3 linked regions of the Oryzias latipes genome follow. The main gene of each other region encodes a partner of the protein of the gene in region 3 in a complex. Links are inferred from orthologs where the notes say so. Each region holds a gene or a part of one and is shown on either strand. Other genes may lie near its edges.

Region 1 (3,751 bases), on a different chromosome or scaffold from region 3:
GAAGAGGAAGTGGTACAAGAGGAAGAAAAGTAGTTGCTGCTTGTGTCTCGCAGACAGTGACATGTTTAAATGGCCTCTGGGTTATTTAACTTGTATGGGCAGCTATGTTTCTGGAGCAAAAAAAGTTTAAATAAACTGTGAAACTAATGAATGGAAGACAAGTAAGGTAAAAGCAAAGAACCCTAAGCCTATAAAACCCAAAGTCAGGAAAGTTACACCCTTTGCAGTAAACCACAGAGAGGAAATAAGAGCATGTGTGACTTTATTTGTCTCTCTCTGAGTTTAATCGATTAAGGTGAATGTATAGTAGCGTATGGGTTGGGTCTGACAGTGGTTATTTTCACTCAATAGGTCATTTATGACTAAAAGTAGATGCAAGTCAGCCTTAGTGTCCTCTTATGTGGACCTTTTTTCTTCATTTGTAGGGGAAAGAGGAAGTAGCAAGAGCTCTGAGAAGTTAACAAGAATCCAGACTAATGCCATACATGGTCAATTGGTATTAGTGAGATTGAGTTTTTACCATTGCTTAGTGGGAAAAGTGGTTATTGTCCATCCTCTGACAGGGCACTTTTACAGTCCATAGTGTCTTTTGTGAGTCATGTGTTTGGCTTGGAGGGTCTCTGACTCCATCTGAGGTGGCATTCTGCTTTCCAGAGTGTGCAGCAACATCCACATTGTAATTGTCCTCAAATTGCATCAAACATATCTTGCATTTCCAGACTGAAATCTTGAGAGACAGGTTTTAAGAGGAAAAGTATTCACAGGGAGGAGCAGCCTGTGCTCTGCTGTTTGAATGATCAGATAAGCAGGGGGACTTGCTCGAAAGCTTTATACAGGTTCATATTTTATATATATTTGAAACTTTGTAAACTCTATATGTATTAATATTTGTTCAAGAAACATTATATCCTTAGATTAGGCCTCACATCAATCCCTATCCTTTTATTTTCCCCCAGCCCGTTACTGTTATCGCCTCCCTCTTTCTACGCTCAGTGCACCACAGCGTGCACCCGACGTGCCCCAGTGAGTGACGCTGGACCAATCACATGCCGCGATTCCGAAAGTTTACCTTTTATGGAAAGAGCCGGGCAACGGACGGACTATAAATACCACGTGCCCACGGCTAGCAAATTCACTCTGAGCGCCGTCACACACAGCTTGTGCGGGATATCATTCGCCTGAAACCGATTCCCTTGAAACGAAAAGCCCCCCACCCAAAGGTAAGATAGAGACGATATTTGGTTTAATTCAAATGTTTTGGAAACCTTACGATTGTTTAATTGTGCAGTTTAATTCTTAATTGGAGGTGACCATTAGCAGAATTTTGTGGCCACTAAATTTATTTTTAGGCCTGAAATGGTTAAACTTTTAATTATCTTTTTAAAATTGACAATTTTGTTTGTTTTGGCATCAATCAAGTTGTACCAAAATTAGCCACTTAAACGCACAGGTGCCAATTGATTGTAACCGGCAAATGGCTTTTCAGTTTGGTTTTAATTGTATATTTTATATAAGCAACTAAATAAAAATTACTATTCGTATCTTACATGGTGGGGGGAATTTTTCGAGTCCTTCTACGGACGTTACCCGTCCGAGTTGAGGGTGTCTGGATCCTGGCGGGTCCCTTTGTGCGCCGTTACGGGGTGTGACCTACTTTAGCATATTAGCCTAGCTTCATGCTAACACGCCCTTCTAGACTTGACTCTGATTCCTCACATGTAGGGGGGTGGGACTGTTATACATTTGTTTGTATAAAATGTAATAACCCTTAAAGCATTTTAAAAGTATTCGATTAAATTGAGCATGTAACTGTAGTTTGACGGCGAAGAAAAGGGCAAATGACAAATCATTCATTCAAGAAAAGGCGTGGCTTTCAGGAAATGATTAATCAGTCATGGGCTCGCACACGTTTTAATTTCCTTCTAAAGCTTGACGGGTCGTGGTGCTTTATGCCAGCAACGACTTCGCACAAATTATGACGCAGTGATTAAGAAATTTTTCAGTCTTGTGCAACAATGGGAGGGAACGCTGACAAAGTAGAGCTGTAATGAACCAGTGGGAGTAGGCTTTCGTCGCCGGGTCCGATAGTCTAAAGTCCCTCCCCTCTTGCTGTACTTTGGCCGCGTGCCTTGCCGGTAGCCGCAAAGCTGCTCAAAACCGAACTATGTCCTTATATGGTAACAAGAGAATGCAGCACCACTTCCTTTTGTCTGGGCTCGGAATGTAGCGCTCTACCTCCACCAAGCGGACACTTTGGGGAACTGCCGCTCCCTGACAGGAAATGGGACATCTGACTGCAAAGCAGATGCAGATGGGCGTGTCTTTGGTGTTAACGCCTTATTTGTTTGTTTTCCAGTTTAGCCATGGATGATGACATTGCCGCACTGGTTGTTGACAACGGATCTGGCATGTGCAAAGCCGGATTCGCTGGAGACGATGCCCCTCGTGCTGTCTTTCCCTCCATCGTTGGTCGCCCCAGGCACCAGGTTAGTTCCTAACTGTTTACCTTTATAATTTTTTACTATTTAATTTTAAAAGTTTCCAGATTTACTAAATGTAAATTTAAACTTTTTTTCAGGGTGTCATGGTGGGTATGGGCCAGAAAGACAGCTACGTAGGTGATGAAGCCCAGAGCAAGAGGGGTATCCTGACCCTGAAGTATCCCATTGAGCACGGTATTGTTACCAACTGGGATGACATGGAGAAGATCTGGCACCACACCTTCTACAATGAGCTGAGAATTGCCCCTGAGGAGCACCCTGTCCTGCTCACTGAAGCCCCCCTGAACCCCAAAGCCAACAGGGAGAAGATGACCCAGGTACCCGTTTACCTCACAGTGGAGCACATGTATACTCTTTTCACCTTGGTTTCCTTCTGTTCATACTTCCTCCATCCTCCTCTTCTAGGATTTCTTCCTATAAGATGAGCTTTCATCAAAAGGTCTATTGACAGTTTGCCTTGTATCTGCACTTGTGTTTTGAGGCTTAGAGTAACAGATCAGCACCTAAAAATGACATGCACAAGTGTGAAGGAATGTTTACCATGTACTAACTATAGATCGAGCCCCACTTTAATGCATGTAGCGAGTGGAGTGGTCGCATTGCTGCTTTGTAACATGCTAACATTGTGCTTTTTGTCTCTGCAGATCATGTTTGAGACCTTCAACAGCCCTGCCATGTACGTTGCCATCCAGGCTGTGCTGTCCCTGTATGCCTCTGGTCGTACCACTGGTATCGTCATGGACTCTGGTGATGGTGTGACCCACACAGTGCCCATCTACGAGGGCTACGCTCTGCCCCACGCCATCCTGCGTCTGGACTTGGCCGGCCGCGACCTTACAGACTACCTCATGAAGATCCTGACGGAGCGTGGCTACTCCTTCACCACCACAGCCGAGAGGGAAATTGTCCGTGACATCAAGGAGAAGCTGTGCTACGTCGCCCTGGACTTCGAGCAGGAGATGGGCACCGCTGCCTCCTCTTCCTCCCTGGAGAAGAGCTATGAGCTGCCTGACGGACAGGTCATCACCATTGGCAATGAGAGGTTCCGTTGCCCAGAGGCCCTCTTCCAGCCTTCCTTCCTTGGTAGGTACCTCAACCAAAGACTTGTGTACAGACCCCAGAGTGCCCCATGCTAATATTTAATCTCCTTCCAGGTATGGAGTCCTGCGGTATCCATGAGACCACCTACAACAGCATCATGAAGTGTGATGTTGATATCCGTAAGGATCTGTACGCCAACACTGTGCTGT
Region 2 (3,751 bases), on a different chromosome or scaffold from region 3:
ATCCGTTTGGTCAGACTGTGGTGGACCTTCTGCAGGACGGATACCTTCATCTAAACAGACCGTTTACGCCATAAAAATGTCTGAAATTAACTTTGTCCTCCTTGCAACTCATTCCATAGATGAGCAACTAAGACACTGGCTAATTGCTGGAGTCATTACACTTTTCAGGCCTTAAAAGTAAAGTTGAAAAACTTCACGGGCAACTGACCTGAACTAAAGGAGAAACTCCAGAATTTAAAGCAAAGGTGAATCTTGATGATGCAAGATCTAACAAGTACCAGAGAGGATGAATAGCTTCAACCAGGTAAAGGTGGTTAAAAACAAAAAAAAGGTGGGGAGCAAACAGCACAGATCTTCTGCTGAGGTCCCGATGATCCATCTTCACCGGGAGCCCCTCAGGCTGCAGCCTGTAACGCGGCACTGAGCCCCGGAGCACCTGCTCCGCGCCGACAGCAGCTTCCATATGTAAACAGTCGCCACATGCTACCTGAGCGGAACCTCAACCGGGAGCCGCGCGACCGACTCACCGCAGGTAGTACTGCCTCAGCGCGAACGCGGCGTTCGAGCAGCTCCTCGGGAAGTTGAAGTCCTCGGCGAGTTCGACCCATTGGTTTTTATCGGAGACCTGAAAATACATGGAAAATATATTTAAAATTAAAATAAAAAACACACACACCTTAAAAAAAAGAGCGGTTACACTGAAACCATCCGGTCTGCCACAGGTCCCCCCTCCCTAATTAGCCAATATTGGAAATCGATAACTTTCTCAAAACTATCAGGAAACACAACAAAGCTGAAAAAGGCCCTTATTTTAAAATATTTAACCCGTGTTTGTGTACAAATCTGAAACAAAATCAAGTTAAAGTGCATAACTCAGCAGCTACACCGTTACAGTTTAAGCTAGTTAGCCTGTTAGCTTGCTAGCTAACTTTTTTTCCCCCACACTGACGTTAAAACGTCACCGAGTCAAACTTCCACAAACTGTGTCCGTCCGCGCGACCGGGAGCGCTCGCTGCGCCTGCCCCCCACCCCCCGCGCAGCGAGCGACCCCGCCGTTGACGGTGTTCCCCCACACGGGCCTGTGAGGCCTACATTTGGCGTTCAAGCCACGAAGCCGAAGAAAGATGGCCATGGCGAAGAGAGAGGAGATGGGGGGGAAGAAGGGGAAAAAAAAAATGTCAAGCTTCCTCCCCCCGGGCCGAAAACTGTCGGTGACAGCGCGAGGCGGCACGCCGCGTGCCGCGCCGGGCTTCCCGAGGCCGGACCCCGCGCCGATAATCGATGGTGAACGTGCCCGCTCATTTTTGAGCGGCTCCAAGTCAGCGCACTCCGACTTCCGAGCGGACGGACTCTCGATTCAAACAACACAAGCCATGGAGATGCATGGCAAAACTAGCACAAGGCCAACGCCGTCCCCGCTTGCCGTCTCCCTTAGGGGGGGTCCCGCTTGTTGTCCCGGCTGGTCCGCTTGGGGTTCCGGAGCGGTCCGGCGGAGACTCGGCACACAAATCACACTTTTGCCCGTTTGCTCGCACTCACCTTCGCGAATCCACCTAACGAGACCACTCTGATGTAGAGCGCGTTCAGGTCCAGCTCTTTCCCACCCACGACGGGGATCTTCTTGAACGCCGACCTGCGTGGAAAACACAAGAAACGCGAGCACGCGTGTGTTTAAATGACACTTTTAGGCCAACTCTCCGGCAAGTGCAGCGGACGGTCAAAGTTGGGTTTTGTCAGTCGCCCGAATCTCTCACCCTCTGCTCTGGTGAAATTGCCGCAGCTCGTCCAGGAAAGCCTGTCCTTTTCTCCGCTGATCTAGTAGATTTTTCCCCGTCGAATTTGCCATGGTTCCTGCATGCGAAAACGGTCAAAGCCCACGCGAGTCGCTTCCTAAGACACCAAGGATCCCATACTCCGCCGGCGCTCAGTCATTCGCCAAGCTGACTGTTTAAAAAAGTTAAAGAAATAGCTGATAGCAAGGAGAGCGGCAGCTCGCTAATAAAGACTGATGCACAGCAGAGCAAAAGCCCGATACAAGCCCGGACTAACTTCCAGCGAACAGTTACAAATACGACCGATTTACCGGTAGATTAGAAACGCCATGACTGGAGGTGTAGAATTAATGCTTTTGGTCGCGTCTGTGTTCGTTTGGAGTGGTTTGACAGTGTGTTACGGACGCAGCGCCGAGGCTAGCGCACACACTGTAAGAGCGGCAGAGGGATCCAGTTCTAAGACAAAAAGATGAGAAGGCCGCGGAGCCCGGCCTACCATGCGCGCAGCGCCCTCTGCGGCCAGCGGCGGTACTGCGAGCAGCGCGCTCGCGGCCGGAGCGCAGCCTGGAACAATAGAGACTGTTTTCTTTTTTAGGGACCGTCTCACAAATGCACTCCCCCGGTTGGAAAACGGGTCAGAAGGTTCTCAGAAATCTCCCGTGGGGGGAGGGTATAAACGTTTATGAACACAACTCCACACCGGGCGTGCATTGGTTGGCGTATTATTAGCAAATAAGGCAAACATCATCATATTTTTTCTTTTACCTGATTTGTTAAAATGGAAAACTTTAACGTTATGTTTAAAAAGTTAAAACGATGTCAAACAATGATTTTCAAGCATTTAATTTGCGAAAATAATTATAAAAATGTTTATAATAATTTTTCCACAATGTTTTAAATTAATACAGTCAAATTATAAAATTGTCATGCTATGTAAAAGTTTCTGCGCATAACTAATATGCATGTAGAGCTCCCCTTTTTAAAAATCTTGCCTGCAAACAGTACATAATAAAATACATTTTTTCGTGCTTTTTAAATGTTTTTATTGTGAAACAAACTGCAGCTCGCGGGTTTTCGGCGCGCGGGCTACTCCGCCACCATCCCTTGCTGCCCACTTCGCAACGGCTTTTCTGTGACGGGGTGGCAGCAAATTACACCTGATCCCTTTTCCCTGTAACTGCCAAGCGGATATCTTCTTCTTGATGGGGTTACATTCAACCATTACACGTACCCCTTTGCTCGATGAAAAACCTGTCACAAAATGGCGGAGACGTACGTTTGCAGACCCCATTTTGTCAGAAATGACAGCAGACAGCGGAAAAACCGTGCGTGTATTTTCGCGTCGCTCTCTATTTCGGACTGTTTTCGCCACAAAAGCGGCGGTGCTCCGGAGGTCACCGCAGCCTGTTTGGACTCCCCACCCGTCAACCGAATTCTGGGCTAACCTATCGCTCTAGCTTGTTAGCTTAGTCATCGCTAGCATAAAAACAAAATATCTACACATCTCATCTTCTCACTTTTATGTTTATCCGACCAATCATCCATGGAGACTTCACGGGGACTATTGTCTTTGCGCTTTCGCTAACAAAGATGGTTTTGAAAAATAAACTCTTTAAAGTTTAGAAGCTAGCTGTGCTGCTTAACAGTCGGGACATTTTTGCTAATGCTGCTAGCTAGTTTACTTCCCACTTTTGTCGATTTGCTGCTTTTAAAGGCATCTAAATCAATCCCATCGCCTTCATATCATCAATATATATCAATTAATGGGCTTTTTCTAAATTTTATTTTCTAAATAATGTGACGAGTGACTTTAGTAAAGGCATGCTAGCTTTTTTAGCTAGGATGCTAGCCTTACTCTTCGATATTTAAAGCTCTTTTTAATTTAGATCATGTCTTCCCTAATAATTGAATGTAGGGTGATTCCTACAGTCGATTCAATAGTTTGTTAATTTTTTAATGTGTATATATATATATATATA
Region 3 (3,751 bases):
GGGAGGCGAGCTTCTAACAAAAAGGCTTCATCCATAAATAGATTTATTTGATTTGCTAAATAATTACAAGCTGTCATAAGATTGTTTTAGCACATTTAAAGTAACAATTTATTGCGATTTTCGCTGTCTTTTGCTATATGCGGATTGCACAGCTTGATATCGCGATAACGAGAAATTTGCCATTTATCGTGAAGGCCTAGATGGAACAGTCAACAGTATCCTTTAGTGGGATTGGTCTTTAAATCACAAAAATAAACAACTGTAGCCAAATCACTGCCTTAGTGAAAAACATTTTTTCATCGAAAGTCTTTTAGATAAACAGACTTCAACATAAACCCACTAGGGTTCAATCCAAATTCTTCCCCTACCCCTCCAGCTTCTCTCTTTCCCTCCAATTGTAGGGGCATTTGGGGGTAGGGGTGTTAGTTTTTGGAATGGAAAACCTTCACTGCGCGGAGGGATACGGAGCCCTCCAACGCAAAGGTGTTCCGCATGTTCTGTGCCGCAAAAGAGAAACGTATCTCTGCAAGTGGGTGTGCCTTGAAGCACAGAAGTTTACACGTAAATGTAAGTAAATACTTTTTGTTTTAGCATGGCTTTTTAATGTTCTAAAACCCACGTTATTTACTTCTGATCGCCACCCGCTAACGTGGCTGACCGACGACGATTGATGACCTCATCGAGTCAGAGTGACGTCTAAATGACTATTTTTATATGACACTCCATTTGGAGGGCTAACTGTAGGTGTAGGGAGAAGTAGAAGTGGGGGAAGAACTTGGATTTGGTCTAGGTATTGTAAATATGAAGTCTGAACATCTAGGACACTTTTAAAACCCTAAAAGAACTGCAGAAATGTAAACTCTTTCTCTTAGTCTGTTTCAACACAACAAACATCTTTAGCATTAATGTTAAACTTCTTGAAAACGGTGACAAAGGTTGCTGCGTACACTACTCCACACTAAAATTTGAATCACCAAACTAGCTAGCTGTACTTCCACGTTCCATTTTAATTTATGTTAGCCCGCCACTAACAGCTCACTTCCCTCATCATTTTTCACTGCCATGTTACTTTCCCCTCAAGTTCCACAATTTGTTTCCACCAAAACATCCCCGCCTAATAGAACTGGACTAAGTGACCCCCCACCCCCACCCCGGATGTCAAATAGGAAGTACCTGCTCGAACGTGTGTAAACCCCGCCTCTAATGATTGAAATGTTTAATTGACAGACTCTCCTGAGCCTGCTTTCAGTGGCAGAGATGTGGACTAAGATAAAAGCTTAATCCTGATTGGCGACAGGAGTTGCCATAGAAGCGTCGACTCCTACAGACGCAGGCTCATCACCGTTTACTTAGGTGGTCTGGCTCCAACATGGGGATGAGTGTACTGCAGATCTAACAGCGACTGATGGATTCATTTTGCTGGAGCTGAAAGTAAGGCGTTTTTTTTTTCTTTCTACGGGTGACGTCAGACTCGCTCAGTCCAGTTCTCTTATACAGACAATGACATCACCACCCACCTTTCCATCAATTAAGAATCAAACGATCTTGATAGATTTATAAATAAGATACTTCTCCATTCCCTGCTAGTTTATAAAAATAAAACATTTTTTGAAGTTTTTCAAGGTTAAGATCTTCAATTTCTAAAAATATTTATCATGCCCTCAAGTAAATTCTGAGTTTACCTCATTTGTAATTGGTTAAAAGTATGAAGACTCCTCTCAAAATTGGGTGCATGTCTTTATTTTAAAAAAATTAATTCAGGTTGGTAGGTAGGTGGGTGGACTTTTAAGTTTACCATGCCCCCCCCCCCCCCCCCTTTTTAAGTTTAACAACTGCAATGTATGAGTAAACTATGTTGCGTGTACTTTAATAGCAAAACATTACCAAGCGTTGTATTATTAACAAGTAGAAGTTCTCGACGGCGGAGTTACACCTAAAACCTGACCAAAAACTCAATGGTTCCGTTAAGTAGAAGTCAAATCAAATGCCAATTTTTAAACGTCAGCAAAGAGAGACGCGACAAATACAAGCGGGTTTTCGGAAATTACCTTTCAGCAAATTTGAATTTAGACTCACATGACGGTAGCAGCCAGATGTTTTCGCAGAGTACGGTTCCTGAGAGGCGGACTTTTTACTTTCAGATTTCCCAGAGGAAATCAATGGATCCCGTCAAAACGAGACGTATTCATAAAAGTTGATAGATTTAATCAATCTGTATATGCCAGTTAACTCCACACAATCAGTAACTAGAGAACTACGACGAGCGTAACACAGTAACTAGTTACTAGTTAGCGTTAGCAGGCGAGGTAGCACAGTTTCATGTAAGCTAACCTTCTGTTAGCGAGCGGGAGGTTTAGCAAATTCAAACATGATAAACTCATAAAAGTCCGCCAGAGCGCTCGAAAAAAATATTTATTAAAAGTCGATTACTTTTAATGGGTTTCTTAAGTTCTATTGAACTGGGCCTGTAGGGGGACGGGGGTTAATGTTAGCCATTGGCGACAAAGCAGCGATGAGTGGCTTTGTTCTACTAGCGGACCGGCTAGCATTGACGCAAAGATGGAGTGATAACTCACCGGGTACCCAGGCCCAGGCATTGGAGATCGGTACATGTGGTTCTGACCAGCCGAAGATGGACCCATTCTTCCAGTGGGAGTCCCGGGTCCCATGCCTGGTCCAGCACCGGGTACAGGTTGTCCAGGTCCAACAGCTCCACCACCACCAGTCGGTGCAGACTGAAACCCCCCTCTGGACGCCATCTCCTCACTAGATGTCGCCTCCGGTGGAGCAAAGGAACTAACGCGAGAGCAACTGAGGCGTTCACTTTGCGATAGCGCCCTCTACTGTTCTCTTTTGACACTGCACGATTGCCCACATTAAGAGACAAAGGATAATTGTGGGGTATGAAGGCGTAATATAGGCTATTTCTTAAAAAAAACATTTAGTATGTTCCTTTATAATATTTTAGTATTTTTCGTGAAGTTTTTTTGTTTTGTTTTTCGTGCTATTTTTTTTAAATACAAGAGCAAAAAACAACAAACAGGCTGGGCAGCTACTCATGAAAACTACAAGAAAAACTATAAAAGTATAGTTCATGTAGTTTAAAATATGTATTAATATATATCAATATATACATGTATATGTATTAATATTATTCATATATAGTTTAAAATATATATTAAAAACACGAAAAAATCTGTCTGGTCTGTAGAAAATAAAACAATTAAAATAAAAAAAGAAAGAACATTTTAATTAGCTGGAGTAATACAGTCCTGACAAGTCCTAACAACCAGCATTCAATTTACATGATTATATGCACAAGAATAAAGTCAACGGGTAGGCCAACCATATTGGAGTAATTTAGGACGCTATTAAATTGTCTTCTTTCTTTTCATGTGAATTCACTAATCTGTTCTATTGCCTTCTATATGTCTTTCATTTATCAAAACAGAATACATTGTTTTTCAATTTTCTCTTATCGAACAAAATAAAACTTAGAGCAAAACAAAATGCCCCAAAACATTATTAACTTTTAAAGAACACATTTAAAAATAAAAGTTTTCATTTTAATTTAGGCTACAGTACAAAATCAATTGGTTCAACAGTGGATTGCTGATATTTTTCATTTTTCATAATATATGACTGTTTTGCAAATGAGAAAATCATTTGATTTTTATTAATGTAACTATTCATATTTTTGTATCATATCCTTTAAAAAAACAATCATGTATGTTTTTAACTAACTTCTATT

Evidence for each region.
Region 1: smarcd1 (region 3) and actb share a complex: the UniProt entries of both Homo sapiens proteins name them as parts of the BAF complex. The link is inferred for Oryzias latipes from reciprocal best matches to the Homo sapiens genes SMARCD1 and ACTB.
Region 2: smarcd1 (region 3) and arid2 share a complex: the UniProt entries of both Homo sapiens proteins name them as parts of the SWI/SNF-B (PBAF) chromatin remodeling complex. The link is inferred for Oryzias latipes from reciprocal best matches to the Homo sapiens genes SMARCD1 and ARID2.

The regions. Positions count from the first base shown.
Region 1 is NC_019866.2:19,166,925-19,170,675, forward strand, and holds the start of actb (actin, cytoplasmic 1), read left to right. Parts: upstream 1-1,151; 5' UTR 1,152-1,220; intron 1,221-2,356; 5' UTR 2,357-2,363; coding exon 2,364-2,486; intron 2,487-2,578; coding exon 2,579-2,818; intron 2,819-3,145; coding exon 3,146-3,584; intron 3,585-3,655; coding exon 3,656-3,751. UniProt on the Homo sapiens protein: Actin is a highly conserved protein that polymerizes to produce filaments that form cross-linked networks in the cytoplasm of cells.
Region 2 is NC_019881.2:3,973,995-3,977,745, reverse strand, and holds the start of arid2 (AT-rich interactive domain-containing protein 2), read right to left. Parts: upstream 2,257-3,751; 5' UTR 2,084-2,256; intron 1,945-2,083; 5' UTR 1,847-1,944; coding exon 1,755-1,846; intron 1,634-1,754; coding exon 1,540-1,633; intron 626-1,539; coding exon 528-625; intron 1-527. UniProt on the Homo sapiens protein: Involved in transcriptional activation and repression of select genes by chromatin remodeling (alteration of DNA-nucleosome topology). Required for the stability of the SWI/SNF chromatin remodeling complex SWI/SNF-B (PBAF).
Region 3 is NC_019863.2:13,904,117-13,907,867, forward strand, and holds the start of smarcd1 (SWI/SNF-related matrix-associated actin-dependent regulator of chromatin subfamily D member 1), read right to left. Parts: upstream 2,796-3,751; 5' UTR 2,760-2,795; coding exon 2,577-2,759; intron 1-2,576. UniProt on the Homo sapiens protein: Involved in transcriptional activation and repression of select genes by chromatin remodeling (alteration of DNA-nucleosome topology).